4 linked regions of the Tamandua tetradactyla genome follow. The protein of the gene in region 4 interacts with the protein of the main gene of each other region in a pairwise test. Links are inferred from orthologs where the notes say so. Each region holds a gene or a part of one and is shown on either strand. Other genes may lie near its edges.

The links.
Region 1: the proteins of HMBOX1 (region 4) and C12H8orf33 interact in binary tests that used the Homo sapiens proteins (3 or more experiments, as listed by UniProt). The two-hybrid records come from large-scale screens. The link is inferred for Tamandua tetradactyla from reciprocal best matches to the Homo sapiens genes HMBOX1 and C8orf33.
Region 2: the proteins of HMBOX1 (region 4) and ASB7 interact in binary tests that used the Homo sapiens proteins (3 or more experiments, as listed by UniProt). The two-hybrid records come from large-scale screens. The link is inferred for Tamandua tetradactyla from reciprocal best matches to the Homo sapiens genes HMBOX1 and ASB7.
Region 3: the proteins of HMBOX1 (region 4) and WT1 interact in binary tests that used the Homo sapiens proteins (3 or more experiments, as listed by UniProt). The link is inferred for Tamandua tetradactyla from reciprocal best matches to the Homo sapiens genes HMBOX1 and WT1.

The regions. Positions count from the first base shown.
Region 1 is NC_135338.1:102,033,982-102,040,885, reverse strand, and holds C12H8orf33 (UPF0488 protein C8orf33 homolog), read right to left. Parts: upstream 2,722-6,904; 5' UTR 2,710-2,721; coding exon of another isoform or gene 2,704-2,709; 5' UTR 2,646-2,703; coding exon 2,295-2,645; intron 2,060-2,294; coding exon 1,975-2,059; intron 1,823-1,974; coding exon 1,676-1,822; intron 1,113-1,675; coding exon 973-1,112; 3' UTR 519-972; downstream 1-518.
Region 2 is NC_135338.1:84,036,654-84,044,247, forward strand, and holds the start of ASB7 (ankyrin repeat and SOCS box protein 7), read right to left. Parts: upstream 3,012-7,594; 5' UTR 2,810-3,011; intron 2,585-2,809; exon of another isoform or gene 2,003-2,584; intron 1,964-2,002; exon of another isoform or gene 1,828-1,963; intron 287-1,827; exon of another isoform or gene 1-286. Other genes in the region: LINS1 (protein Lines homolog 1), read left to right, coding at 4,077-4,475, 4,599-4,688, 5,180-5,321, 5,828-6,418. UniProt on the Homo sapiens protein: Probable substrate-recognition component of a SCF-like ECS (Elongin-Cullin-SOCS-box protein) E3 ubiquitin-protein ligase complex which mediates the ubiquitination and subsequent proteasomal degradation of target proteins.
Region 3 is NC_135334.1:108,436,757-108,444,262, reverse strand, and holds the start of WT1 (Wilms tumor protein), read left to right. Parts: upstream 1-4,500; 5' UTR 4,501-4,758; coding exon 4,759-5,197; intron 5,198-7,506. UniProt on the Homo sapiens protein: Transcription factor that plays an important role in cellular development and cell survival. Recognizes and binds to the DNA sequence 5'-GCG(T/G)GGGCG-3'. Regulates the expression of numerous target genes, including EPO.
Region 4 is NC_135329.1:30,331,421-30,338,350, forward strand, and holds the start of HMBOX1 (homeobox-containing protein 1), read left to right. Parts: upstream 1-3,917; 5' UTR 3,918-4,209; intron 4,210-4,555; exon of another isoform or gene 4,556-5,292; intron 5,293-6,930. Other genes in the region: INTS9 (integrator complex subunit 9), read right to left, coding at 3,386-3,394. UniProt on the Homo sapiens protein: Binds directly to 5'-TTAGGG-3' repeats in telomeric DNA. Associates with the telomerase complex at sites of active telomere processing and positively regulates telomere elongation.

The sequences.
Region 1 (6,904 bases), on a different chromosome or scaffold from region 4:
GGATAGATGTAGAGGAGGATGTAAGGCATGGGGCAGGGCATAAAAGTGTGGTGATTGGTTGCAACACAGGTAGGCACAGTTTGAGGGTGCTACACTGGTGCCTATGAGCATGGAATGTGGGGCATGGGGTTGTGGAGGTGCAATGCAGGGGCTGTAGGGGTGGGGTGCAGTTCAAGTAGGCTTTGGGACACAAGAGCAGGGTGTAGTGTGGGAAACACAGAGTGGAGCATGGTAGGAGCTGGATGGGAGGGACTGTGAGGATGCATGTGGTCTGGTGTATAGGCCCTGGAGTGGCCTACCTTCACAGAGGTGGCCCACTGACACCTAACCAGTTTTTGACTGGAACTACCAGGGGTGAGAAACTCTTTGTCCATAATAACAAAGCCACCGAGGATGATGCTCACTCAGAAAAAGAAACAAGACATACTTTCAAGAACTGTGAGCCTAGACCCAGCAGTGTCAGATGCCCTGTTTGTACCTCTCTGACACAAATGGTTAGTACTCTTTACTCATTAACCTTTTTTTTCAATAAAAAATAGAGATTTATTACAAAGATGTGGCATAATGACATAAAGCAATCCATTGACAGGCATCCTTTCAAAAGTAAGCACCAGTGTTCAATTATGTTATTGATACCTACTTAATCTAATCAAATACTAAGTAGAATATTATTTTAATAACATACTAAACACTTCATTAAATTGTAGAAGTTTTTCTAAATGCACTTCTGTCTTCTGGCAGGATGGATATTTCATAAGAAAACCTACAAGTGGCGTCTGTGCTTGTCTGTCAGTGATGCCAATATACTGGGTCTTACTTCTGCCCAACAACCATAACATCAGATTCACCAACCAGCTAAGAATGGGCCAAGCCCACATCAACCCAACAGAACATTCCTGGAAGGGTTCCGTACTACAACAACCTCCCATACCACTCTAAGGAGAGGCTTTGTTCGAGGATGAGGGGCATGAGCTAAAAGAAATTGAACCTAAACTCTTCATCAGGAGTATCCAGGAAGGCCTTGGCTGCCCCCACTCGGCGGGGCCTGCAGACCCTTTGGCTCTTCTTTCTGGTGGCCTCATCTACAGGCTTTACGTGTGCCAAGTGGGCTGCTGTAGACGGAAGGAAAAAGAGTTAGAACTGAAAAATAACAGCTAACACTGTGTTCTTATAATTCCCATAAGATTTTAATATCCTTAGAAAACTTCATATAAATCAACTGACTGATTTCTGGAAATCATAAGGTAGGTATTATCAGCACTTCCAACTTTAGAGTCAAGCAACTAAGGTACAGAGAGATTAAGTAACTTGCCAAAGGTATGACAGCTACTAAGCAGAAGGCCCAGAAACTGAACTCAGGGTGTGTAGCTGTGTCATTGAACGAAATGGTCAACAGAGAAAGCCAAGGTAAAAATAGGTAAGACTTTCCCCTACCTTAGGAGCAGGATCCGGCTGTTTCCTCACCCCCCAGGATCTTTTGCCCTGGTCCAAGCCCTAGTTCTGTGTTCCTGAGTGGTCCAGGCTTTTCTCTCTGCCTTTTCCCCTGGGTTTCCCTAAGCTCACTTCCTTCCCTGCACCAACCCTGTGCTCTGAGCTTCTTCTGTTTCACCACCAGTCTTCCCCTCCACACTTGTGAACTAGGCCAGCCTGAATCAATCACTTTCCAGCCCCTCACCGGCCCTGAGAGCACGCAGGGCCTCCTTCCGTTCTGCTTCCATCTGAGCCCTGTAGTCTCCAAACAAGGAGTGCATGAGCTGCCTCTTCCGGGGCAAGGGGGTTCTTTCACTGCACAGTGTCCGGATTGCCCCAGTAGCCTGCTTCTCTGTGGATAAAAAACACCAGTGACTTCCTCTCCTCTCATCTCATCTCCCATCACCCCACCACAAAGGCACCAACTCCATCCCCAGGCAGCACCTGCAGGCAACACTGCTGTCCCCGCCCGCTTCCCCCCAACTCAACAGGAGGGCTCCTCACTCTGTTTTAGGCTGGGTCTCTGGGTCCTGAGACCGAGCTCCAGCTGCTCCACACACCAGGCCAATTCCTGGGCCAGCTGCTCAGCCTGTGATGATTTTGGGAGTCGGGGGATGGAGAGGAGTGGCTGGGAAAAGGTACTAGGATCCCGGAGCTCAGGCCCTGGTTCTATCCCGAAAAGAACCCTAAAACCCCAGCCATCCACCCCTTCCCTACCCTAAGTCCGTAGACCGCAGGCCACAAGACCTCGACCCCACCTGCCGTGCCTCGACCCCAGGATGCACCCGGGGATTCCACCCTTCTCGCCTGGAACCGGCTCTTGCCTGGGCCTCAGCGCTTAGTGGGGGCTCCTCTGGGACGCGCTTTTCTGAGGCCTTCTCGCCGCCGTCGGCCACAGAGGCGCCGTTCCGGCGTTTTTTCTTCCTCTTCTTCGAAGCCGCGCCTCCGCCGTCGCCTACAGGGTGCACCCCGGAGTCAGTGTCCTTAAAGGTGGGATGCCGCGAGCACAGACGGGCTGGATGGGGCGTTACAGAGGAAGGACTCCGGGCACTGGGAACCGGGCCAGGGAGCCGGGAACCGTGGGGCGCGCAGGGACCTAGGGCTGGGGCCGCCGACGTCGTCTCCTGAGCAGCGCGGACAGGGGCCTGGAGAAAGGGAGGCAGCGCGGAGGTCATCGGAGGCCGCAGACAACCCGCAACCCCGTCACTCCCGCGGCCTCTCCACGGCGCTCACCGCCATGCGGGCTGTCGCCGCCGGAATTCACGTAATGCGTAGGGTCCGGGGCCGAATTCCCTCCTCCGGAAACGCAGCTGCGATGGGCTGTTCCGCAGGGCACAAAGAAGTGAGGTGGGCGGGGCCGCGCGGGGTCCGGGTAGAGAAAACAAGAGGGTCTTAGGTTCCTGTCAGGGAAAAGGGCGAAGAGTGCTACTTCCTGGGATTCTGGGATGAGAAGCGCAGGGTAAAGGGTCAGGAGCCATGAGGCAGGCTCGAGCCCTAGGAGGACGGGGGAGGAGAGGCAGTGCGCGCTGGCCTCCTGCGCCTCGGGCTTTGCAGATTTTCTGTCTCAGCAGCCGGTTGTCAGATTGGCTCTGCACCCCCTTCACCCCGAAGCCAGGCGACCGCGGGGACCTTCCTCAGACACGGCGCCGGCAGGGACACCCCAGCAGGGTCTCTGCTGCGGGTAAAGGGGTCGGTCTGAGGCCCCCAGGGGCGCCCAGCTTTACCAGCCCACAGAGCCGGGCTCGTTGCTGGACACTGCTCTTAGGAGCTGCCATCGGTGCTTCTCAGCCAACGCGGGACTGGATTCTCACTAGGGGCTAAACCACTCCCGTGGGCCTGAGGCATGGTCTGGAGAGTCTGAAAAACGACGCAATTCCCTTGCACTTTCTCGTCTGCCCCGCAAATGGCATTATTCAACAATTTAGTTGTCCAGGGAACCCAGGCTGTATCTGAACAGGCTGAGCTCAAACTGTGGGTGCCTCACGTGCTGGCCAATATCTGGCTCAATGTGGGGCTGTATTCCCCACTTAATTTGTGGCGGAGAACTTCCCCGTCTGTCCAGTTTTCAGCCATCTCCCAGGCAAGGATCAGGCTGTCCGCAGCTGTTTCCCTCGGGTTCGGGAACAGCTTTCGCACATAGGGCTCGAAACAGACTGTCCACATTTTCTCAGACTCTTTGGCCCTCACTGACCTGGACTGAAATGCCCTCCCCTGTCCCCCAGGTGTCCAAATGGTGGGAGTATCTCTCGCTGCTGTAAGAGAATATTCTGTGACCCCAGTGGGAGGGATCCCATATGCTGTCTCTGTGTCCTTCCCGTTGTGTGTGTGAGACTGAGTACCGGGAGGGGAGAGCGCCAGCCTGTCTGAGACATAAGTTTCCTACCTGATTTTCTCTATCTTCAATTTGGCATTTGTGGGGTCCTTCTCCAGTAGAGAAGTAGTTATCTTCCTCTAGAGTTCTGAGAAATTCAGAGTTGTCCTTTAATCTCAGGAGAGAGACATTTTCAGTAGCTGTTTATGTTGTGATGTTGATGACATCACTCCTCCTCCCACACTATCCTATTTTAAGACTTCCTCTAAGGTTATGATGTTATGATGTAGTAACACGTAAACAAATAGATTAATGCCCATATACATACAGTACTATTATAAAGCCATTACTATGTGGTTATTTGATACTTGACAATGAAATAGAGTCTAGTCAATGGAAAAAGAATAATACTTTTAAAAGAAGTGATGTAGGGGGTGCACGGGTGGTTCAGTGGTAGAATGCTCGCCTTTCATGCGGGAGACCTGGGTTCGATTCCTGGACCATGAACCCCCTCCCCCCCAAAAAGTGATGTGGGAACATTTGGACATCCATGTGCAAAAAAGGAACTTCTTCCTAAACCAAGCGTTGGACACCAAAAATTAACTCAAACATCCATTGTAAATTATGCAGTTTTATTAAAATCATAGAATAAATTCTTCATAAATAAGGATATTCCAAGTCCTCTTAGAATTGACAGCAAAGTTAAAATCATGAAGGGGGAAAATACATTGGACTTCATTAAAACTTTCTTTAAATTCTCAGAATGAATGAAAAGGCAAAGTATAGATTGGGAGAAATTACTTTTAAAGCATCTATTTGTATCCAGACTTGTAGCCATACATACAAAGAAAAACACTCCAGAGAAACAAGATAAACAAAACAAGTGAAATGCACAGACACTTCATCAAGATGATAAAGGATTGGGAATATGCATAAGAAAAGATGTTCAGCAGCAGTAGCCATTAGGAAAATGCAAATTTAAACTAACTTAAGAAACCATGGTTAAAATAAAATATTACAACGATACCAAAATATGCCAAGGAATTATGACTAAACTTCTGATGACATGGAGATGGCAGGCCTTACTACCACCCAGCAGAAAAAGAAAATAAATATTAGTAATTAGAAATTTACAAAGGCACCAATAGAAAAATCAGAACTGGAGAAGATTTTAAATAAGAGGGTGTTGTTCAAACACTTAAGTGTAAGTATCAACATATAGAATTTAAGAATATTTCATTTTTACAAAACCATGTTCCTTTATATGCAATATTAATGAAAATAAGAATTGATTATGTATGCAGTGACTGGCACTGCTATTTGGATTCCTAAGAGTTGTATTAAATAAAAAAATGCTTCCAGGCCTTCCTAGTAGGAGGGTTTGTGGGTGGAGGTAGCCACTTAACTCAACTTTTATTTTGGAGCTGATTTCTGGAAAAATTCTCACAAAGAGCTTAACTGGTAGGACACAGCTCACACTAATGCTCTGCCTTCCATCTTTCCAAGTGTCTGGGCCATGGATGTAATGACCAGAGCTGCTCATTCCCTTACATGGGGAATCTGAGTCTCTCACTCAAGATACTGAAAAAAAAGCTATAGAAGCCTGGATGCCTAGTGATGTTTGGAGCTGGCATTTCAACTTTGCAATTCTTTAGTGGGGCAGAAGAGTGAAGCCTATTTTGCATAAGCAACATTTTGGGGGACGTTCTTTATTCAAGAGACTCATGATTCCAAACTGATAAACTAAACCGCCATATTACAGCATTGATGGAGAAAAGATTTGAAAACCAACAGGAGGAAACATGGAGACATTTCCTCGTACTAGATAACGGAGCACGCATCTCTATTGTCCACGACCTGAAGCAGGATGGTAATATGCAAAGCAGTAGAGATTAAAACCTGCTTTAGTTTGCTATAGCTGCGAGAATGCGATAGAATAGAAATGGATTGGCTTTTATAAAGAGGATTTATTTACCTACAAATTTACAGGAAGGAAAGGCAGCTGTCTTTCATCTGATTCCTCAATCACCTGGTGATGTCTGCTGACCTTCTCTCCCAGTTTCTGAATTCAAACAAGTTTCCCTGGGACATTTCCTCTCTGTCTACAAATATCTGGGTCTATTTTGGCTATGAGCACTGAGCTTGGATTTGATGAACTGTCCTGAGTTGCTTCTCTCTCTTCTGACTTCTCCTTTTAAACCTCCAGCTAATTATATTAAACATAACTCATATCAATAGGCACTCCCCTTAACCTAGACAACTGCAGATGTAATCAGCCATAAATGAAATTCATGTGCTAATGATTTAGTTCCACAGCAACATAACAAGTGAGCAACATTACCTGGCCAACTTGACAGCTCAAACGAACTATTACAAAACCTATTTCATATGGAAAAATCAAAACCTGTTTCAAAAAATTCAAGAAAAAGAAACCAAAGACTCTTAATGTGCTAAAAGGGTTCATAAGTATTCTAAATTATCATAGAGGAAAACAAAGACCACAAAAAACACAGAAAGCCCAAACAGAGAAACAACCATGGTTGAATGTGAATAGACTTTCCCCAGAGCAACACAGTGCATGATTGAGAGTTTCTGTTATTTCCACATAGATAATTAAATTGATGGGAAATGAATGCTTGGGCATAGGCTCTGAGACAGATTTTTCCCAGGATCATAGTTTTATGTGCATATTTTATTTTAGCCAGCATTGTATTAAAATTTATGAATTATATAATAACTGATGCCAAAAAGCACAGTAATGTCACCTGAACTGAATTTATTAATGCTAAAATAATATTTTATCTATACACATATACTTACAAATTTATACATATTCTTTCAAATGTTTCATAGAGTACACACACTTTTTTCAAGAGTAATTATCATATATATCTATGAATATATATAATTTCTAATGTTCTAATAAACAATACATCTTTTTCTCAAAGCACCAAAGACTTATTTAAAAGAAATATTTTTTCAAATATTAAACATTTGGAAGTTTCTTGTAGAAATTCTGACATGTTTTCCTTGAAAGATGGGAGAAGGATCAAAGAAGAAAGATGAGTCATAACAGAGAAGATAGGATTTAATAAATGAGTATGACTGCAGAATCATTATATT
Region 2 (7,594 bases), on a different chromosome or scaffold from region 4:
GCATGATCTGTCTTAAGGAAGAATTTTCCTTTGGCTCTGGACCTGTAAGATTCAACAAATTATTTGCTGCCAACATACAAAGGAGGGACAGTCATAGGATACATATCCTCATTTCCATAGGGAGAAATCTGAAGGAATACAGGGGTCATTGGACCCAAGCAGTTTAGAAAACCTGCATGGCAAACTCCATTTGATTTCAAAATCTGAGAGTCATTTATTTTGGGGCCTTAGAAACTGGCAGTCCCACCCTTTCCAAGGGCCTATGCAGTGGCCCGCCTCTCCAACACAACCCTAGGGAACACTGGGAAGACTACACCCATCTTGGCTCCACCCTCTCCAAACATCGGGCCGCACCTGGGCCTTCTGCCATCTCTAGAGCACATGCCCAAGGACTTGGTGCCTCTCCAAGGCCTGGCACCATTCCTCCACCATGAGGTGGAAGGCCCATCTTCTGCCTCTGGGCAAACTTACCCTCTCCAAGTACTTGGGTGGGTCTGTTTTTGCTGGAGGTTTTTTGACTTTAGACTTTAGCTTCCATGGTTCTACCTCTGAAGTTATTTTACTTTCACATTGTCCTTTTTCTGTCCCTTTCAGTCCTTACTGGCAGTGGTTCTTGTCACACAAATCCCACAACACTCATTGGCTTTCTGTGCAGTAGTCTTGGATCATGCCCATCCGCAAGTCCCATGGGTACTATCAGATCCCTTCCCAACAAGTTATTCCCAGCTTTTGGACTGTACAGCAGGGGGGTATAGGATCCTTCTCAACAGATATTAGTAGGTTTGAAAATGGGAACTTTTAAGTCCTTCCCCTTTTACCCCCGAAATTGTGAGGGAGCAACCAGAGAATTCTATCCCCTGTGGATATGGGTCACAGAATATCAGGCTGCCCCAGTGTCCACCAAAAGTGTAATTTCTCCCTGATATGGACCCACCTTCAGATTTACCAAAGACTCCTGGTGGTTCTTGAGACGAGGAGGCTCTGACCTTCCTAATCCCCAAAATTCATCAGGGGTATTACTCATCCTTCTTTCTTTAAACTCAGGCATTCCCTTTTGAAATGACCAGGTTTCCCACAGTGATAACACTCTGCCGAGTCTTGTGCCCTCCTCATTCCTTTATCCCCTTTGGGCCAGACAGTTTCTCTATCTTGCTTCTGCCTGCTTTATCTCTAATCCCTTCTTGACCATGTGGTCAACCATGCTTAACATGACTTTAGCTTGTTGCTCCTGCTTTCCTCTTCCCTACTCACAAACATTTTCTGAGACTCTCTCAATAACTCTCCTAGTGGCTTATCCATCCACCCATCTATTTTCTGGATCTTTTTCTGACTGTCAGGCCAAGACCCCTTTACATCTTTGGGCCACAGGACTATCAGAGTCCATCCCTGAACATTTCCTCACCTGGTCCCTCAACGTTTGTAGGTAAGCAGAATGGGTTTTGTCTAAGTTCATTCCTCAAAAACATAATATCCAACAAGCTTTTGCTGGAAAAGATGCATAAAATATGTGGCTCACTATCCAAGAGATAACAAAATTTTTGGTTCCCAAATGAAATCTTCAGTTTAACCAAGAATCTTATGTCTCTTCTAATCATCCAACCCTTCCTTGGCTCAGCTACTTGCCAGGTCAGAAAGCAGGCATCTTTTTTGCTCCTCAAATAAATCCAACATTATTGCTCAGAAGTAGTTGGTAGGTCCTGTTAGGAGACACCATAACCCTTCTAGAAGTTCAATTCCTGCACTGACACTTTCGTCAAGACTGAACTACAGGAAAAATGCTCCCATATCAAGATAATTTTATTCACGCATTTTCTTCACTCTTACAAGGAGGAAGTCTGCAACTCCAGCATTTGGTGATGGGATTATTATAGAAGCACCCAGTCTCTGGATCAAGTCGTCACATACCACTGAAATAGTTCTAATGAACCAAAGAGACAAAAACTAGAAAATTACAAGGCTATCAGTAAGTCTGGGTACTTCTTCAAGTCCCTTTTAAGATAACTTAAGCTGTCTTTTTCTTGAGCCACCTCAAAAGCTTTATTTATTTATTTTTTATTTATTTTATGAGAATTGGATATAGCCAATTTTATCCCTTGTATATGCAGTCTCTAAAATCCCTCATTTGTGCCCTGTCTTCCAGATTAGTATTATTCCAATTAGTATCTACACTGGAGAACTTTTGCTCTGCTGCCATTACCCCTTGCCTAGGTGGGTGCTGCCTCTCCCACTGTTTCATAGCTGTCCTCCTCACCATTCCCCTTTCTTCCCCCATAAAGAGGATATTTAGAATAGACATAAGTTTGGACAAGGTATATAACCGATTTCCCCTGGTCCAATAGGTATTTTTCTCAGAAGGTATAGGGACTTAACAGGTCTATGTTCTTTCACCCTTTTTTTCCTCTGCAGCCCCCGGAAATGGAAAATTCCGCCTATTTTTTTCAAATTGTTCCAACTTCTCCCTCAATTGTTGATGGAATGTCACCAGTGGAGCTGTTGTTGGCCCTGACTGCCAACACTATCCATCCAATGTTCCAACATTCTCCCTATGGACTATCCAGGGGAATGTTCCCGAAGGACGCTATAGGTACCCCCATCCCTTTTTCCCCAGTCAGCTGACTGTCTCTATTAACCATTCTGAGTCTTGCCTGGTTTTCTTTCTCTCAGCACCATTTTGCTTCATCCAGCTCTGACCCTCTCCCTCATAGGAGAAGGGAACTGCGGATTGGGACTCGGCACTTGCTCACTCAGTGCCAGGCTCGTCAGAATTCTTCCCGACCACAAAGGCAATACCCACGAGTCTTTTTCTTACCTTGCTCCATGCACAGAGTTGCCTGGTCACTGTGAGGTAGATTTTCCCTTCCCGTTTTCTCGTTCACAGTCGGTGGATCCAAGCGTCTGGCCTCGGGTCCTTCTGGCAGTCAGAAGTGGGCCCCTAATGGCAGAGTCTGGGACCACTCAATCAGCAGGGCCTGCCTTCCCTGCGTCCTCCGCGGGGGCCTCCTCCGAAGTCAGATCCTAGATGAGCACCCAAAATTGCTACAAAGTAAGCCATTCCTGAAAGAGAATAAACGCTTACCGGATTGTAGAGAAGAAAAGAATTTTTTAACGATCTTGCAAGAAGGCGCACGCAGCCGAAAAATGGTGGCTGATGCCCCCAGCGACCAAAGCGGTGGTATTTATTACCTAAGCCTAGCATGCGGGTCCCTTCCCTGTTTCTCCTCTGGTTGGATACTCCAGAGGTTACAGCCTATCCAGACAGTCTAACTAATTCAAATTTCCCGCCAAAGGTTCCCGCTTTTGATTACACTTTACATTTCAGTGACACTGGCCGTTACTTATTTAAACTTGTTTCTGCCTATTTGGCGCCAGTTCTAAGCTTACGTCAGAAGCTCTCTCCTTCCCTGCCTGTAAGACCGGTTTGAACTGTCCTGCAGCCCTTTCCTGCACTGTCTTGTTCCAACTTCTTCCTCAATTGTTGGTGGAATGTCACCAGTGGAGCTATTGTTGGTCCTGACTGCCAACACTATCCTATGGACTATCCAGGGGAATGTTCCCGAAGGACGCTATAGGTACCCCCATCCCTTTATCCCCAGTCAGCTGACTGTCTCTATTAACCATTCTTACAGAGAGGGCATGAGTGCTACCTGCGTGTGGTGGATAGAGTCCAGGAGGCTGCTAAGCAACCTGTGATATACAGGACAGTTCCCACCCTAAAGAATTATCTGCCCTAAGATATTAATAGGGCCAAGTTTGATGAACTCAAGAGGAATGCTAATGTTTCTGTTATGATAAAATGAAAAGTGATTTTATGTTCTTCATTCTGTATGGAAAGTAAGTTCTTATTATCAGTTTTCCCTTTAATAAATTAAACAATCAGCATTACTTTTAATTCAAGGAACTTAATAATTAAGTAGAAACAGTTGCCTTTTGTTTGTAATGAATATTTTTAAAGTATTTTTCCTATTTTAGGTTTTATTGAAGAAATATCTTAGAGAGTCATCTCATTTCCAAGATCCATAATACTTACAATTTGGAGTTGTCAACCTTCTTATAAAAGATACATATTGGGAGTCAAAATGAAAGCTTTCAGTGAAGTTTTAGAACAGTTATACAAAAAGGTGCTACTCGAAGCCACACTTGAAAAAGACAGCCATGAGTACATCTTCTATCTCAACCCCACATTTTCAGATCAAGATTTCTCTACAGTTACCTCCCAAGAATGGCCAGACATCCATGGGGGCCAGGACAAGAACCAGCCACACTTTGCCCATTTGGGTACCACTTGTATGGAACCAGAGCATTTGAAGAGACCCTCCCAGATGGGCAATGCCCGAGAAGTAACACTGCTTCAGTTGACAGTGATCAAAGTGATGATATCCAGAATATTGTCTTGCAAAACTGACTTCCACGCAAAGGAGAAATACAGTGACATCATTAAATGTCTTTTAAAATCATCTGAAGTGGATTCTAAATTAGTAAGCCATTTACTTCCTTTGCTTTTTGTTTATTTTGAGATCTGGATTTTTTAAATAAAAGTTTTAAAATAAAATTTCTAAAAAGCAGTCACCAATAGCAGTTAAATATTTGCAATCCTACAGATCTCTATGTTCCAGAATTCAGATAAATTACTATCCCACATGGCTGCAAAGTGTCTTGCATTGCTTCTCTATTTCCAACTGAGAGAGAAGGTAAGATAAGTATTAACGTTAGGTTATTATTTTTCTTATAGTTTCTTTGAAATTGCTTTTTGGCATTTGATCTTATATTTCAAATATGTATTAATAGAATTTTTGCTGACATAATACATGTGTAAATCCACAAAAGTGGAAAAATGGAACAATACAATGATATCAAGGATTAGAGTCTTAAATATATTGTAAATCATTATAAATCAGATTCTTAACCCAATGGGTGGGTTTCAGGGAAGCAGTATATGTCTTTTGGTCAAATAGTCCATGACTTTGTTTAGATTCTCAAAGGAGTGGGTAGCTCTTCCCCACCCCTGCAAAAATAAGTGTTTAGATCTCCTGCTTGAGACCAAAATAATTTTCACAGATTTAATATAAATAAATTCTAAGAATGGTCCTCAGTGTAACGAGAAACAGTATTAACAAATGCAGCATCACATTTTTCTCTTCTAAATGAATTAATGCAAATGTTTTTATTTTCTCATTTGTAGATAACATTAAGTAATTCTTGGATTGCTTTTTGTCAAAAAAATCTTTCTGAGTACTCTGAGAGTAATAAGATAACATCCTGTCTCTGGACCCTTACACTCGTAATAAAAGAAATATTTAAAGATTCATGTTCACAAAAAACAGGTAGGAATTATTTGTTATCTCATAACGACTGCCACAGTCTTGCTCCCGAAGAACATTATATTATAAAGAAGAATATTTATTTTACAACATCTGTTCTTTCTTGGCAGAATCTCTCCTCTTATTTGTTAATTGAATAAAGTTAATTGAAGATACCTTTTTAAAAGAAAATGACATAGCAAACCAATACTAAAAAATAATAAAACTAAATAAAATAAAGTTATCAAGAAAAGTATTAAAACTTTTCATTACTACATATGTGTGTATAGATTTTATATATACATATATATATATATATTTATCCCTTGCATAGTTTGATTTATTTATGTTTGTAGAAATTGTTAATGGTGATTATTAGCAGTTACTTTTTGTATCCTTATTTGTTCATGTTGGAGGTAAACAATCCAAATCTACTTTTTCATCTTGTAAAGTGATAATAGTTATAAAAATTAAAGTGTAATACTGACTGTGTTTTAAGAAGACTTTGTTTTCCTTGTTTATAATTCCAGAAATTCTAAAGCAGTTCCTGGCTCCTTTTGACACTATTTTTGAAGTATTTTACAACTCCTTATTTTCTCAACATTTTGAAACCTTCCAAGATACTTCTAAAATAATAAACAGCTTGTTGAGTTTCCTGGAGTTGCTTGAACTTCTTATAGCCTCCAGAATCTACCTGAAGTCACATTTCACTTGCCAGAGGATTTTATTTTTGAAACCTTCCTGTGTGCTGGATGTTATTACCTGGCCTGTTCAAGCTTTCATCAAGAAGAAGTTCATCCTCTTCATTAAAAAGTGCCTTCTCTGTAAAGTGGGTGAAGACCTCTTTCCTGGATCTGCCCTTTCCTTCGTACCACCAGATCTTCATTTAGATGTGGACATGTTGGCTTTAGCTAATGCCATTTTGCAAGCTGTGAATTTGGGGTTGTTGAGGACATTGTCTGTTTATGGAAAACCTTCCTTCTTTGGAGGCAATGAAGTTCAACCTGGATGTGAAAGTATCTCTGGTCCAGATCAAGTGATCCTTAGAGCAGTGAGCTTAGTTTTAATTAAATCCTTAGAAATCAAGTTTCAAAATTGTACTTCAGCAAATGACATGAAAGGTAATTGTTCAAACTTAAGTAAAATGATTCATAATTATTAAATCTCAGGAGTAGTATAAATTCCATTGATTTATTTAAACTATGTGTTATCCTAGCTGTAATTCATTATATTTTCTTTAAAAAAAAAATAAACTGGAATTACCTTAATAAATACATCTACTTTTTCTGGGCTAAACTACATTTCTGAATGAGGTAGGTTAAAAAAAAAATAAAGAAGAAAGAAATTGCTGTTGAGTCATTTCTAAAGTAAGTGATGCCAAAAAAAAAAAAAAAAAGTGATGCCAGGCAAATCATATTCATATTTTTGAATTGCTCTGGGTATCCTTTAGCTATTTTTGAGTTATAATAACTATGAGTTATAATTCTGTGCAGTTATAATTTACAACACTAGGTGGCATGTGGCATGTAAATCAGAGATTTGCATGACAATGAAAACTGCCCAAAACCTTTTTGCTTTTTGTGCCCATACCTTAAGAGTAGTGCTTTCTTTTTATATTTAAACATTTTTTTAATTGTGAAATATATGTACAAAAAAAGCAATAAGTTTCAAAGCACACCACAACAATTAGTTATAGTACAGATTTCAGAGTTTGTATGAGTTATATTCTAATCGTTAAGGGCATTTGGGCTATGCTCATTCAAACTTTTTTCATGTTGGACAGAGCTGTCAATATTATGGGATAGGGTGATGGAACTAGTTGCTGTTCTGAAGAGGCTGGCCTCTCTGGGTTTCAGGACTTCTCTGGCCTAGGAAGCTAGGTTGTAGGTTTGTGGAAAGTAACTGTAGTGTATGAAACTTTTGCAGAATCTCAAGCTTTCTTGAGATTCTGCAAACCCTGGGGCTTTCTTTTAATGCTTTAAACAAACAGAAAAAAATCTTTTTCCATTGTTTTAAGACAAACTTATTTATGTTTGGTTGCATTATTACCTCTACAACAGACGTTCCTAATATCCAATGGAATGATTTCTGTTGCTGCTACTCTTTATTTATATGCTTTTAGCAAGAATTTACATAACAGGTGATACTTTTATTTCTCAGAGATAATTAGTTATTTGGCATCTGTAGCAAATAGAGAGTGTGGCTGTCTTTTTTTTACTTTATGCTCTTGGGCAAGTCAGTTTTCTCTGACTTGCATAATGTTTCCTACTATGCAATATAGAGATAATTCCTAATTC
Region 3 (7,506 bases), on a different chromosome or scaffold from region 4:
CAATTTCATGGGCCTAAGTATCTACTCTGGCCACGGCCGGGCCTCCAGCCCCACTGTGGCATTAATGCAGAACAAATTGAGACATATCCTCTATATAATTAGTTCCAGAATTTAAAAAGATTTACGGTATAATTAGAGAGGCAGCGCTGCGGAATCCTTTCACTGAGGACTCCGGGAGCTCGGGGATCCGGCTTGCGTTGGCATCAGAACCGACCGGTAACCCGGGCGGCTCCAGGCACGGCGCGCTGGGGGAGAAAAGGGGGAATTTGCGCGGCGTTCCCTCCAGTGCACGGCGGTTCCCGGGACCCCAAAACGAGTCAGAGAACAGAACTCCAACCGCAGATGGAGGGGTTGGTCATATATATAAATATATGTATATATAAAAGATCGAGTTCATTGTCAAACAAGCTGAGGAAGACGGGAGTGGGCTAGGACAAAAGATCCCTACCTTGCTCTTTTTATTAAATTTTTAATTTAAAGAAAGAGAAAACAAAAAACTGGGAATTCTACAGTGAAGCTCGTGGCTGGTAACCATCCTAAGCGCCTGCTGGGTGGCCCGAGGTGGGCAGATTCTAAGAGCTGAAATTGGTGGGGAAGGAGCCGCAGATGTCCGGCCGTTTGTTCTGGGCGTTGGGATCCGGGCGCAGGTCCTCGGGCGAGGACCTAGCGGAGCGCCTGTTCCTCCCGGGAGGCGGGCTGTCGAGAGGTCGGGCCACTCCTGATCAAGGGCCTCTGCGGCCCAGAGCCCTGGCCCTTGACAGATCGCAGCGCTTCAGCGTGTTTATTCAGATGTCTGTGGCCTCAGGGTGACGCTGGAGCGCGGCCCCGGCGTGCGCGCTGGTCCCTGGGGCCCCTGCGGCCCAACTCCGCGCTCCGCTGTCGGTGCCGGTTGAAAAAACCGGTCCCGGGGGTCGAGAGACCTCAGTGCCGCTTCCCCCCAGCCGCGATTTTTTGATCTTGCGATAATTACATGCACCTTCCAGGCGGGGATGCGCTTTACTCTTGTACCAAAGCCGCACAGGTTTCCAGCATCTTTCCTTTCCTCCTCACTCCTTTCTTTACCCCCACCCTAGAGAGGCAAAGGGGTCGTGGCAAAGCCTCGAGGGAGACCCGAGTTTCAGCTCGGTTCTTCCATAAACTGCCATGTATCCTTGTATTATATGCTAACAAAAATTGCAAAGTTTTTTCAGCTCTCAGGCCAACACCATTCTCTTATCTAATCCTCAACTCCTATCTAATCCTCACTAGGGTCCCATGAGCTCGTCTGACCCATAAGGAAACCGAGTCTCTGAAAGGCTAAGGAACTCGTCTAGGTTCACAGCCCTTGTTAAAGTAGGTTCACAGCCCTTGTTAAAGTGGCGGAGCCGAGATTTCATTTTCTGGCCCCCAATTCCTTGTTCGTAACCACTGCGCCCCGCAGTTCGCCTTTCCTCCCCTGCCGGGGCCTCGTTTCTTTCTCTGTAGAAAGGGAGCTGAATCTCTAGGTCTGACTTTTGGTGATTTAGACTGGTATTCCTTTGGCCATGAGTCTCGGCGCTGACGATGTGGGAAGGGGGGTGAAAGAGGGGAGCCACCAGCTCTCTGCAGCCTTCATTTCCCTGAGACCTTGGGCCGGCCTCGAACTGCAGGAGGAGCAGGAGAGCGCCTGCCGGCCGGGGCCCGCCGAGGATGCGGCCTCCTCCTGCTGAGGCTCTGGGCCTCTTGGCCCAACTCGGGGTGCCGAGAACAGGGTGGCCGGTGCGTCGGCCTGGGTAACCATTCGGCTCCCGCAGAGTACGTAGCCAGGAGAGGGAGGAGAGGAGGGGAAGGGGGTATGGGGCCCTTGAGACACGGGGGTCTGCGGGTGCCATCCAGGACACCGTGCCAGAGCGCAATGTGTGTGTATATGTGTGTGTTGGGGGGGGATGCCTCAGAGGTCTCGGTACAGGTCCCGGGGCCCTCAACGGCGGGGTGTCTGATTTGCAGCACTTACCTCTCTGCCGGGTCAGTTGGAGGGAACTCCTCTCACCGCTCTGCACCGCAAGACTCGGAGAGGGGGCACCAGGGGGTTGTAATGGGAATCGCACCACTATGCTAACCCACCACAGGGCATTTCAGGAAACCAGTGGTGGAGCAGTGAGCGAGTCTCAAATTTGTCGGTCTGCCCTTTCCTCCCACCTCCGCACCCGCTTCCCCGGGCAAACCTTTTTTTTTTTTATTTTTTAACTTAAAAGCAGAGATGTAAGCGCATTTGTCCTTCGTGGGATCCCAAACCACAAAGACTCACATTTCAACCAGTCCCTCCAAATATCCTCCCCCAAGACAAAACTTGCAAAAGACTGCTAAAAAAAGAATTTCATTCTTTTCGTTTAGAAATGGAAATCTCTGGCTTTTCGGAAAGGAACCCCTTTGCTTCGTAGCGCCTGAGTCCTAGTTAAGAAAAACGAGTTCCAAGTAGAAATAGAAGAGAGGTGGGGGCTGGGGCGCTCTAGGGCTACTTGCCTGAGACAAGTTCTCTCCGGGGGTCTTTTTCCATCACAAAGACCAAACGCACTTGCCCTCTGCCCAGCCCTAGAGCTCTGCAACAGGTTCAGGGATGGGGCGTGCAGGAGAGCAGTCGACTCTCTCCATAGAGTGCAGGGGAAAGAAAAAGAAACCTGAATCAAGAGCCTCTTCCATTTCTTTAAATAATAATAATGTTTCTGCGTGGAGATGTGGCAAAGTCAAGCACCGTAAGTAGCGCAGGGAGGTGTCCACGACCGCGAAGGTGGCTGAGGGAGCAGCGGGCAGCGCATGCTCCCAATCTTTGCCCTCAGGGTCTCCTGACAGGCGATCCCAAAAGTTGGGAATTGCGGACAGCGCGGACGTCCTAAACCCGCACACGCTGGGTGCCCGCAGCCGGAACTCACAGCGACTGCGTTTAGCGAGTGCAAATTAAAACCAAAGCTTACGAAATGGAGAGTAAGTAAAGCTTTATCAACGCGTAGTGTCTTCGTGAAACTGCATCTACCTTGATGCTTCACGGGACCCTGGCTGGAAAGCTGCGGGCCTCATCCCCGGCTCGCCCGGTGCCCAGGACCCAGGGCAACCCGCCGCCTCCCGCCCTGGGCGCCTTGCCGTCCCAGTTTGAGCCCTTTGGGCCACCAGGCGCCGCTGGGCGTTTCCCGCGCCCCTGAAATGCACATCACTCGGGAGTCCCGGCGCTTCTCCTCATCTATGGGCCTTCCGCCTTATCCTCGATAGATCCTGTGGGGCGCGGAGCCAGGCGGAGAGAGGAGAGGATTTGGCTGGGGTCCACTCGGGGAGCTCCCAGCCGACACTGCCTCGCGGCGTGGGCCGAAGGACGCGCTCCCTACCCGGCTCCTCCAGCCGCCTTTCTGGGCTGCGCTTCCCCGCGGACCGCTGCGCGCCGAGGGTGGTACCCCCGCCGGGGAGCAAGGCAGAGCTTGGCACGAGCGGCGCCAGGAGCCCCTCTCTCTCCATCTCCACCTCCGACAGGGTGCTAGGATGCTCCGGCAGGCTCCGGGCCTTTCCCCAAGGGTATTCTTACCCCCTCGCCCCCCAAACTAGCCACTGTTTCTCCCGAGCTTCACCGTGGAAGAATCAGATACTCTGCACTAGGAAGGGCGATTAACGTGGCTGACACGGATTTTTAGATAGGTAGGAACCCCCTTCCTCTAGGTACAAACCTCATCAGGTAGCCAGTTACCAGACAACTACCAACTACCATGCCTGGCTTATTACAACAGATGCAACTTCTCGAGGCCACCAATCTGGGGCACGTTCGTCTCGAATCCCGGGCCTCCGGAATCCACAAAGGGCCTATACCAACCCCCCCAACCTCCGCACCCCATGACCCCCAAATTATGGCCACCACTCTAGCCTGTCGGCTCTGGAAGCAGGAACCGGATTCCTAGGCGCAGAGAAAGGGCATCTGCGATTTATAAGTCCAGGCAAGTTTTCTGTGCTTAACCCAAGTTCCCGCCCTAGCCGAGGCTACCTGCCCCTCCCTCCAGCCCGCCCTCTCAGGTTAACACCCCCATCCCCACCCCTTCGCACTTGAGTGCAAAGTGGACACGAACTCTCACCTGGAGGGACTCACCAGTGCCTCGAGGCATCCACACTCGCGAAATCTTAAAGAGGGGGCGGGGGGGATGCACCCCACAAGCTAGCTGAGTGCGTGTGGCGGGTGGAAGGAGAGGAGGGTGCCTCTGAGAGAGACGGCCCCTCAGGCCCGCCTCCAACCCCCGCTGCGAGGGCGCCCCCCCCCCCCCAAGGAGCGGCGCGCGCTGCCTAGCCCGGCTGGGGCTGCGGTGTGAATGGAGCGGCGGAGACTCCTGGCTCCTCCTCCGCCGCCGCCGGCCCCTCTTATTTGAGCTTTGGGAAGCTGGGGGCAGCCAGGCAGCTGGGGTAAGGAGTTCAAGGCAGCACCCACACCCGGGGGCTCTCCGCAACCCGACTGTCTGCTCCCCCCTTTTCCCTTCCCGCCCTCCCTCCCACCCACCTTTCAGAGCCGGGACGCCAGTCCCAGCGGCCAGGCCCCGCTGCTCCTCTCCGCGATCCTGGACTTCCTCCCGCCGCGGGAGCCGGCTTCCACGTGTGCCCCGGAGCCCGCATCCCGGCACGCGCTCGGGATCCGGGTGCCTTCAGCAGCTGGAGCAGCCGGGGACACGCGGCTCGGGCTGCGGCATCTGGGCCAAGTTCACCGCGGCCGCGTCGAGCACAGAGCGTGGGCAGGACCGGAGGAGCCGCGGGGCGCCCGGGACTGAGCCGCAGCAAATGGGCTCCGACGTGCGGGACCTGAATGCGTTGCTGCCAGCGGTCCCTTCGCTGGGTACCGGCGGCGGCTGCGCCCTGCCTGTGAGCGGCGCCGCGCAGTGGGCGCCGGTGCTGGACTTCGCGCCCCCGGGCGCCTCGGCTTACGGTTCGCTGGGCGGTCCCGCGCCGCCGCCGGCTCCTCCGCCGCCGCCGCCGCCGCCTCACTCCTTCATCAAACAGGAGCCGACCTGGGGCGGCGCGGAGCCGCACGAGGAGCAGTGCTTGAGCGCCTTCACCGTCCATTTCTCCGGCCAATTCACCGGCACAGCCGGAGCCTGTCGCTACGGACCCTTCGGTCCTCCTCCGCCCAGCCAGGCGTCGTCCGGGCAGGGCAGGATGTTCCCCAACGCGCCCTACCTGCCCAGCTGCCTCGAGAGCCAGCCCGCTATTCGCAACCAGGGTAAGTAGCCCGGGGAGCGCCCCCTACACGCGGGGCGGTGGCGCCGGGGCTCTCACGGAGTGCAGGCTCTTCTTTCTCGTGCCTCTTCTCTCCCTGATCTTAGCTTTTACTCGGCTGTCCGGCCAAGGTCTAGGAAGCAGCGGCCGGGAAGACGAGGCGATGCCCTGAGAAGGGACCATACGCCGGCATCGGCTTCCGACGCTTTCCACCTCCCGACGCCTTCCACCTCCGGGAAGGGCGGGAATCGGACTGTTCGCATGAGCCGGGAGGTCCTCGCCCCTAAAGCTCCATGAGACTCCCGGATTTCGAGTTCCTTCGGGAGTGGGGAAGGGGGAACCGTTGCAGTCTCAAGCTCTGCCTCGGGAAGAGGATTTTGTTGTCCAGGGAACCACCAAATTGTCACTAGGCACTGGGCATCGTAGACGTCCAGACGGGGGTTTCGGAGTGGGTCTCCTACAGCATGAGCTGCCTACGCTACGCTGGGATGTCCAGACTTTACAGCGCAATATGATATTGCACACAGTAGGAACACAAGTACCAAGTTGGGGGGGGAGGGTAAGTAAATGAACGGGCTAGCAACTAAATAGTGATTTTCCTGAAACTGTGTCCGAGTCCACTTACGGTTCCAGGATATGGAAGTGTAGAACTGGGGCTCTCCTGAATTCCTGCCCAGGCGCGCGTGGGGGCAGTCTCCTGGGATGGGAAAAAAACAGTTTATCCGATTCTGTGCTATATAGGGGGCCGGGTTCTACCCGAAGCAGTGGTATGAAGCCTGAACATGGGCCTGCCTTTCAGCGCGGCTTGGAAATCCCCTCCTGGCTTACACGCGGGGCTCAGGGGAAAGAATTTTGCAGGGTCTGGGAGTAGACAAGGACAGGTTTATTTGCGGTGTTCAGGAAAAGTACAACGAGAGACATGAACCATTGTTTTCTCCTATCACTCTGGCGCCTGCACTTCTCTCCTTTCTGGCGGCCAGAGCGGAACCAAGCGGTTCCGGAATCTCAAGCCCCTATAGTTTGGTCCCTAAATTTATTTTAATTGAATTTCGTTGAGATCTTTTAAGCCAATTCGGTTTGACTTGCTGTCTTAGGAAATGTTTTGCTAACACAGTGATGGGGAACTTTTCCTGAAGCAAAACTTCTCACGGGCCTAGGAACTAAGATTTTTCTGGAACGCCTGGGCTGGTTGGGACGGAGTATGTATGGTTTGCAAGAGGTGCTGGGGCGCCCGGGCTCGGAAGAAGGGCTCTGTGCACCTGGCCGACCGAGGCCCAGGCGAAACCGAAACCATCCTCCCCTTTTCCACCCGGCAAGAACCTGGGGCCTAGCCAAGGAGTTCTTAACTCTTGGGCCTTCAGAAATAAAGTGTTTTGTACTTAAGGGAATTGGAACAGCTTAGTGCCCATTGATCGCAGAATGCTGCATGGTCTGGAGGCTCCTGTTTTCGGATCGTGTCACTTCTAATTGGCAGGCTGGTGTTTCGTTTGGCGATTTCTCCAGGTCCCAGTTTGCGGAGCTGTAAGAGGAGGGCCGAGATGGGCGACCTGGAGGTCGGTCCAGCCTGAAATTCTGCATTGGAGAAGCGGAAATGCAACTTATCAAGGGTTCTGGGTTCTAAATACTGAACTCGCCAGCCCACCTAAACATGACTGGGCCAGAAATAGTGCAACTGGCCAGTATGTGGTTGCCTGCTGGTTAGAGAGGCCTAAGAAGCCATTTATGTTCCTGGGGCCCAAAATCTACTGCATCATTATCTTTGATTTGAGTCCATCTAGATTGGGCAGGGGCTTATGGAACCTGGGCTTGGTGGCTTGGCTTTGAGTCCAACGTTCTGCAGGGCAGACATGTCTGGTGCTCGGGGTCCGGACACCTATGCCAGGCTGTAGGTGTTGCAGCCAGCCAGGACTACACTGAGGGAAAAATGCCAATTCTTCTTCAGTAAACAGACCAAGTTGCCCCAGAGAAAAAGAAAGTTGGGGGCAAGAGAGCCAGAAAGGAGGTGTGGACGAACTCCTACCCCAGGGAAAGGCCAAAGGGGAACCTACTACCCCAAACACGGGCAGTAGTTGAGAGGCGAGCTGTGGCCTCTGGTCTTGGCTTTCTCCCACAATAGTAACATTAATGGGTTGAATATGCCCAGCCCTTGGAGTTCACTCAGTTGAGCTGGGGTGTGGGATGTAAGAAGCCGCTGCAGCCCCAACATGGGCAACCAGGACAGGCTCTCGAGGTCCCTGAATTCCGGGTTTATTCTTTTGATTTCTGGGGTTCCTTCGGCTCCCCCAGGAATATATGGCCAGGCCAAACCTCCTG
Region 4 (6,930 bases):
CATGGAGGAACCCTGAAAACATTATGCTAAGTGAAAGAAGCCAGTCACAAAAGACCACATATGGTATGATTCCATTTATATGAAATATCCAGGCAAATCTATGGAGATAGTAAGTAGACTGGTAGTTACCTAGGGCCAAGGAGGATAGGGGGATAGGGGAGTGATAATTGAAGTTAGTGATAACTAACTTTTGAGGACGATGGAAGTGTTCTAAAATTGATTGTCGTGATGGTTGTATAATTCTGTGACATACTAAAAACCACTGAATTGTTTACTTTTCACAGATGAATTATATGGTATGTGATTTATATCTTAATAGAGTTTTATTAAAAAAATATAGACCCCTAAATATTTAGTAAACTAATGACTAATGAAACAAATTCTAGGACTCGTATGGAAAGGGGGTTCAAGCTAAAGCCATTTAATACTTAAACTCAATTCCTAACACTCCCAAAGTACCAAAGTTTCATGAGTTTGAAGTGAAGACGTCTTTAATTCAGGCTGAAAACATTTTATAATTAAAACAAAATAATTTTGATATTTAGAAAAACAGACAGTTTACATATATTGCATTATATAGCATAAACATACACTCTGTACATAATAATTTAATCATTACTCAAATATGAAACAAAAGAAATACTGATCTTTTGTTCCGGACTCTGGTGAATTGTAGTTTTTATCCTTAGCTGAACTCGCTATAAACATGTACCAAATCAGGCTCAATCTATATGAATACTAGAACATGCTCTAAAATATGGTAATTTAGAGAATACATTTCTAACTTTCTTCTTTCTAAAATGATTCTGGTTAATGAAAATGCCAATATTATATACATTACAAATATAATAATAAAACATTATAAATATAGGGAGTAATTAAAATCCTCTGAGTTGGTATCTTTTTATAAAAGGAGTTACCCAAGGATTATATTATAATGACATCCATTGTTTTTGTATGTGCGTAAAAAAAACCACCAAGAGAGTGATATGAAGTTAGAATTAAAAAAAAAAAATGGCCTTGAATAAAATTTCTTTAAAAGATATAGCACTGGCCAAGTACTGTGTAAAGCGCTAGAGCCCTCACCTTTAAAAAGCAACACTCTGGAGTCAGGGAAACGTGGGATCAGATCTTGGTTCTAACATTTATATCCGTAATTCTGAACCACTTACCTCAGCTCCCTGAGACTTACATTTTTATCAGGAAAATGGTAGTACTAATACCTAGATCAAAGGATTAAATGGGATGCTATATAGCAATTTCCTAGCACACTGCCTGGCAAACAGTAATTGTTTTAAAACAGTAGCAATTATTATTACTTTTAATAATAACTCCAATGGTTATTACTTTCTTTAATCTTTTACCTGCACCCTTAACCTTTTCTCAGCCTTCTTCATCGACCTCAATAATCCTTCAGAAATTATTTATTCAACTACTCCTACTTAGGGGGGTTACACTATATTATCAGGCCATGGGAATACAAAGAGTCTACATGAGAGAGGACAGACATAACACCAATAATTATAAGTGGTACACGCAGGAAGTATGCCATGGACATATATAACAAAGAGTATTTAATTCAAGGAAGCCTGAAGAAGCGCTTTTTTAAAACAGAGACCTGAAATGCACAAAGAAATTAGCCAGGCAAAAAAAGCGTTGCAGGCAATAGAACACATTTAAAGTTCAATAAGAAAAAGAGTACAGGATGATCTCAAGGAACTGGAAGTTGTACAATATAATTGGAACAGAGAGAGTGAGACAGAAGAGGGCCAAGAATAAGCCTGGAGAGGCAGGAAGGGCCATATTCTGCAGGACCAACTAAATTAAGTTAGATTTATAAGATTTCACCTTAAGAGCAAAAGAAGCTACTGAGGGGTTTTATGGAACTCTGCATTTTAAAACAATTTCTGGGATTTGGAGAAGATAATGGAGTCGAAAGGGTTAAAAATGAATGCAGGGAGATTATTAAGAGGGTCTTGTTGAATTCTAGGTGTCAAGGGAGAAAAGCGTGTACAAAGGTAGTAATAGTGGGATTGAAGAGAAATGGAACTATTGAAAAAACAATTCATTTGGGGAGTAGAACCAATAACCTTTTCAGGAAGCTGTCCCAGACATCTCCAGTTAACCATTCTTGTCCCTTTAATTCCCCAAACCTTGAGTATTCCTCTATTTTTACTATTAACACAGTGAATTTTAATTTTGGCTTGCTTTTCTATCTTTATTAGAATGCAGACTTCTTTGGACCAAGGGCTATGTCTTTCAATTCTGCATTCTTAAATTCTGCACACTGACTCAGAAGCAAGCTGATATTCTCAAGGTTTACTGACGTGCATCCTTCCCCTTACATAAACAACTTGAAGAGGAGATGGTTTTGGATTTGAATTTTTAAATATTTTCTCTGACGTTCCTGCAAATAGCTGATATTTTCATAGCGTATCATGTAACATAGTGATTATCAAATGGGTGGAAGGGGATAGAAGTAGTTTGGAAAAGCACATATACAAATAATTATATTAATGAAAAAGAAAATAAACTTTTGTTTCTGTAAAAAAAGTTACAGGAAGTAAAGCTTGACATTAACTTAGGTGCTGGAACATGGATTTAAGCAGTTGAGAAACATTTCACAGCTGTTTTCCTACTTTCCCTCTAATTATACTATTACTAGTTCAATAGGAATGGAATAAACAAATCTGTTAGATCTGTATGCACAATTAAGAGTAAAATGGCTCAAAATAAAGGTCTGAGAAACTTTTATGTAAGTCAAGTGTTTGAGTTTCTGATGATTCTCGTATACTGGCATATTCCCTAGCCTTGGCTCAGGCAGTCCCTACAGACCTAGACCACTTCCTCTTTGTCCATTCAAATTCTATGCGGAGTTTAAGATTCAAATCCTCCAAGATCACACGCTAATCTCGTCCTTCTCTGAATTCCAAGGGCAGTTCGAAGTCTATGTCAGGAAATTTAATAAGTGACCACGTTCTGCCTAGTAATTTCTTCTCAACAAGGGCAGGGAGACGCGCTAAAAAAGTACAAGTGGTGACAGATGAATACCAACAGTGTGCTTATTATAACACTCACGTGGAAGTTAAATCAAGCCCAATCCTAGTTCACAGGTGATAAATGCGTGACAGTCAACCTTTTATCTGACCAAAGGGCCCAGTTAATGAGCGAATAAGCTCTCCAGAGAGTTCTAAAGAGAGAGAGGGGGGAGGGGAATTCAAGCTTCCTCAACAACAAAAAAGCAGCTTTCCTTAGTTCACCCCACTTTCTAGCTTCCTCAAAGCCACTCCTTCTCCCCAACTGATCTCTTCCCAAGATGGAAACGACGAAGTCCAAAAATGATATGACATCTGCTTTGCCACCTGACCTAGGAGCGGAGACTCACCAGTTTCATATCGGACTTTAGGTTGTCAGATACCCGTCACTCGACTCCTCACACCCAGAAAGCGTTTTCCGGTTCAATCCTCGACACCGAGCCGCAAAGGGGATCTCGGAACATGCAGTCTTTCTTTCTACGCTTCCCTCTCCCAGGGAGTCATGGGAACTGTAGTCTTCCCTAGATGCATCATGGGAATTGTGGTCATCTTTCCTTTTCCTCCCTTTCCTCTCTAAACTCCTCCTTCCCTTAGCTCAAATTCATCCGCGTTGCCACTTCATCTTCTCGTTCTCTCTTTCTCTTTCTACACCCCAGCATGATATCATGTCCCCCATATGGGTTTGGGGTCCATGGTATTCTGGGACGTGTAGTCTCCCTGCGACTGAGACCCCTTTTCCCTCCTCCCTGTGGGAAGGCGGATGGGCGCGCGGCTTGCTGGGAGCTGTAGTTCTCTAGGGTCTCTAGTTGACGGGTCCCGCGCTTTTGCTCAAGGGAGGCAGGAACTACAACTCCCAGGATCGCCTGGCGGCAGCAGGTGGGAGCGGGGCTGTTGATATCAATATGGCGGTTGTCAGCCAGACAAAGACAGTCAGTCTGATGTGATTGAGACAAGGGTGGTTTTCAGGGGTAGACTGGGAGATAGGGGCCTCCCCTCCCCCTTCTCCTCTTCCTGCGCTAGTCTCAACCCCTCCCCAGTCCCCTTCCAACTGGCGCCCCACGCGGAAGACACCCCTCCCCCTCCTGCTTTCCCCTCCTCCTTACCTCAGACCTTCGTACTGGGACGTTGGGGAGGGGGCTGTGCCGGGCGAAGAGAACTCAGCAAGGATTCTGAGGTGAGTCGAGAGGTTTTGAAGCCGGACTTCCTCAAGTCTTTTCCCTTACTTCTTACTCTTCACTTTTTTTTTTTAAAGGGGTTTTGGGGAGAAAGTGTGTGGGCTGGGAAGGGTCTCCTAAGCGGCCCGATTGAGAAGAGGGAAGAATCAGGGGCTTCAGAGTGTGTGACCCAGACGCAGGGTATGGGGTGGGGCACTTTGTGGGGGGCTGTAAGTGAAAGGCGTTGGCTGCTCCCCAACTCTTTCTCCTTGTTTCCTAAACTGGGCGGAAGGTTTGAATCCTGGAGGTAGGGTCTGCAGTTTGGAGTTTGGGTAACTAAGGTGATTTTGAGGTACGTTGATTTATTTGGTGTGTACATAACTGTTTTAAACTGTGTGACGTGTACTTGTATGATATGTTTGTATTGAGTAAATGTCTATAGATAAGAAGTTAAATAGCTAGAGACATAGCTTTTTCCTGGGCCTGGGCTGAGAAGCGTGCGTGAGGTCCTGATCCTGGGCGTTTGGGCTGGCGACATGGTGCGGGGTAGCAACTCGTTGTGTCCCATTACTCACTCACATTACTCCTCCCTGCCTTCATCCGCTCTTCTGGACAAATCTCCGCCCCAAACTCAGGGTAGGAGAACTGTAGAGATGATGTGGTTTGGAGATGGATTTTTGCATCCTTAAGTCGGTAGATAGGTGGCAAACCAAAAGTGTTCTTAATATTTTATTCCGGAACCGTGTTCTGGTTACACTATTGGGGCTACTTTGAAAGGAGTCCTCCACCCACCCTCACTCTGGAACATTAGGTAGAGGTATCTCACAGTCTTCTTGTTAAATAGATTAACAATTACTTAAGAATTTGGTGTGTGGGGTGGGAGTCGGAAGTGCTGAATTCTGTATGTGTTCTCATTGTCTACTAAAGACACAGGATGACTGTTGCGTATCTTGAGATAAGACGAGTTATTTTCGTGCTAGGAAAAACTGTCGGAAATTATCTGGGGGGCAGCTGAAAGGCGCTGCTTGTATTTTTCTTTTACCCCACCCTGTTCTGCCTGGCATTTGCCTGGAAGCTGGTATGGAAGAGTGAGGAAGCATTGGGTGAGTGAAGAGAAGGCAGTTGGTATTAAAGATATATACTATGTAAAGTTGGATAGTATAAAGTGGTTGCTGTCTTTATTTACTCTGAAGCTTTAAAAACCTCATGTATCATTAGATGACTAGTTCATTTCTCTGGAATCTTGCTGGTAGAGATCTTCTTTGCTTCCTTCATCCTTCCATCCTTCCATCCTTCTACCAGCCGTTTTTCTTTCCTTTTTTTCTTGGCATGGTACATCATTTTTCTTTCCGATAGACATAATGCCTACTGTGCCTTTTTATTTAGTTTGCACTAATATGGTTGTACTTTTCTGTGGGTTTATTATCATATTTATCATTAAATGAAAAGGATCTGCATTTATTTTTATTTTGCATTTATGCCACAAGTGAATATCATTTAGGATTTTAGTGCTTTGCATTAAACTTATTTTTAAATCGCACAAGTTGTCAAATCTAGTTAAATTATGAAAATTTGAATTCTAATTTTCTTCTATTTGCAATCTGAATTATAAAGGAAAGAGGATCGCAACATCACTTGTTTCTCAGTCTTTAATATTTAATAACATTATACCAGGAGAATTTAGTATAATTTGTTTTTTACTTTCTTCAATCTGAAATGTAAGTTTTTAAATAACCCTTCTTAGTGGTGTTTTTAGTGTAATGGATTTTTAAGTAACTAAAATAATTGCCATAATTTCTATTTAGACTGTTGAGAATTTAATGTATTTACCTATTTCCCCTGAAACTTATCAATTCTTGAAACCACTACCTATCAGTAAGGGACTTTAGAGTGTACAAAAACTGAAAATCACATTTAGTATGTGATTTTATGTTATATTTCATAACTTTTTATTGAAATTTCTGCTGTTGGTCATTCACATAAACTGACTGAAGTGCAAGGTAGCATGTATATTTAGACTGGCCTGAATTTAAAAAAATTGATGTTTTCTAAATCTCAAATTTAGAATGTAGAATATGTTGGTTCAAAGCCGAGTCATTAGTTTGTTATAAACTAGGATTTCCAGAATTATTTATTTTAACATTATGTCTTACATTGAAGATTGAATGTACTGAATGTACTGAAACATTACATTGCAAAAACTGGGGAAAAATCCTATGTAACTACGTAATAGTGTGGTTTTTGCTGAACGATATTATCCTAGCCATAGAGTTTTAAAATGTTTAACAGTTATTTTAAGAAACAGACCTAAAATGTTTGTTGGAGTTGGGAAATGTGTTTTCTTCTACCTGCCCTACCCTCAAAAATTTTTTTGTTGTTGTTTTGTTTTCTTCTATGGAAATTCAAAGTTATTTGCTGGGAAAAGCTTTCGTTAAACTTACTTTGATTATTAGTCTGGATGAAATCTTTGCATGTAAACCACATATATTTCGTACATTTGTTGTGGGGGAGGGGATTCTGTTGCATTTTAAGCCCAGGGCATTAAAATGATGTAAAGCCTTTACTGCAGGTTAAAGCATAAAGCATTCTCAGCATGTGAAAGTCATATGGTTTACGAAAAAAAGTGGAAAATCAGGGCATTGGTGCCTGGCCAGCTTAAAATTTCATCCTGTAACTGTGAAAGCCACATTTATTTTCATGTGATCATTTCTAAAAATGTTGTCTATATTATGGCAAGTTGA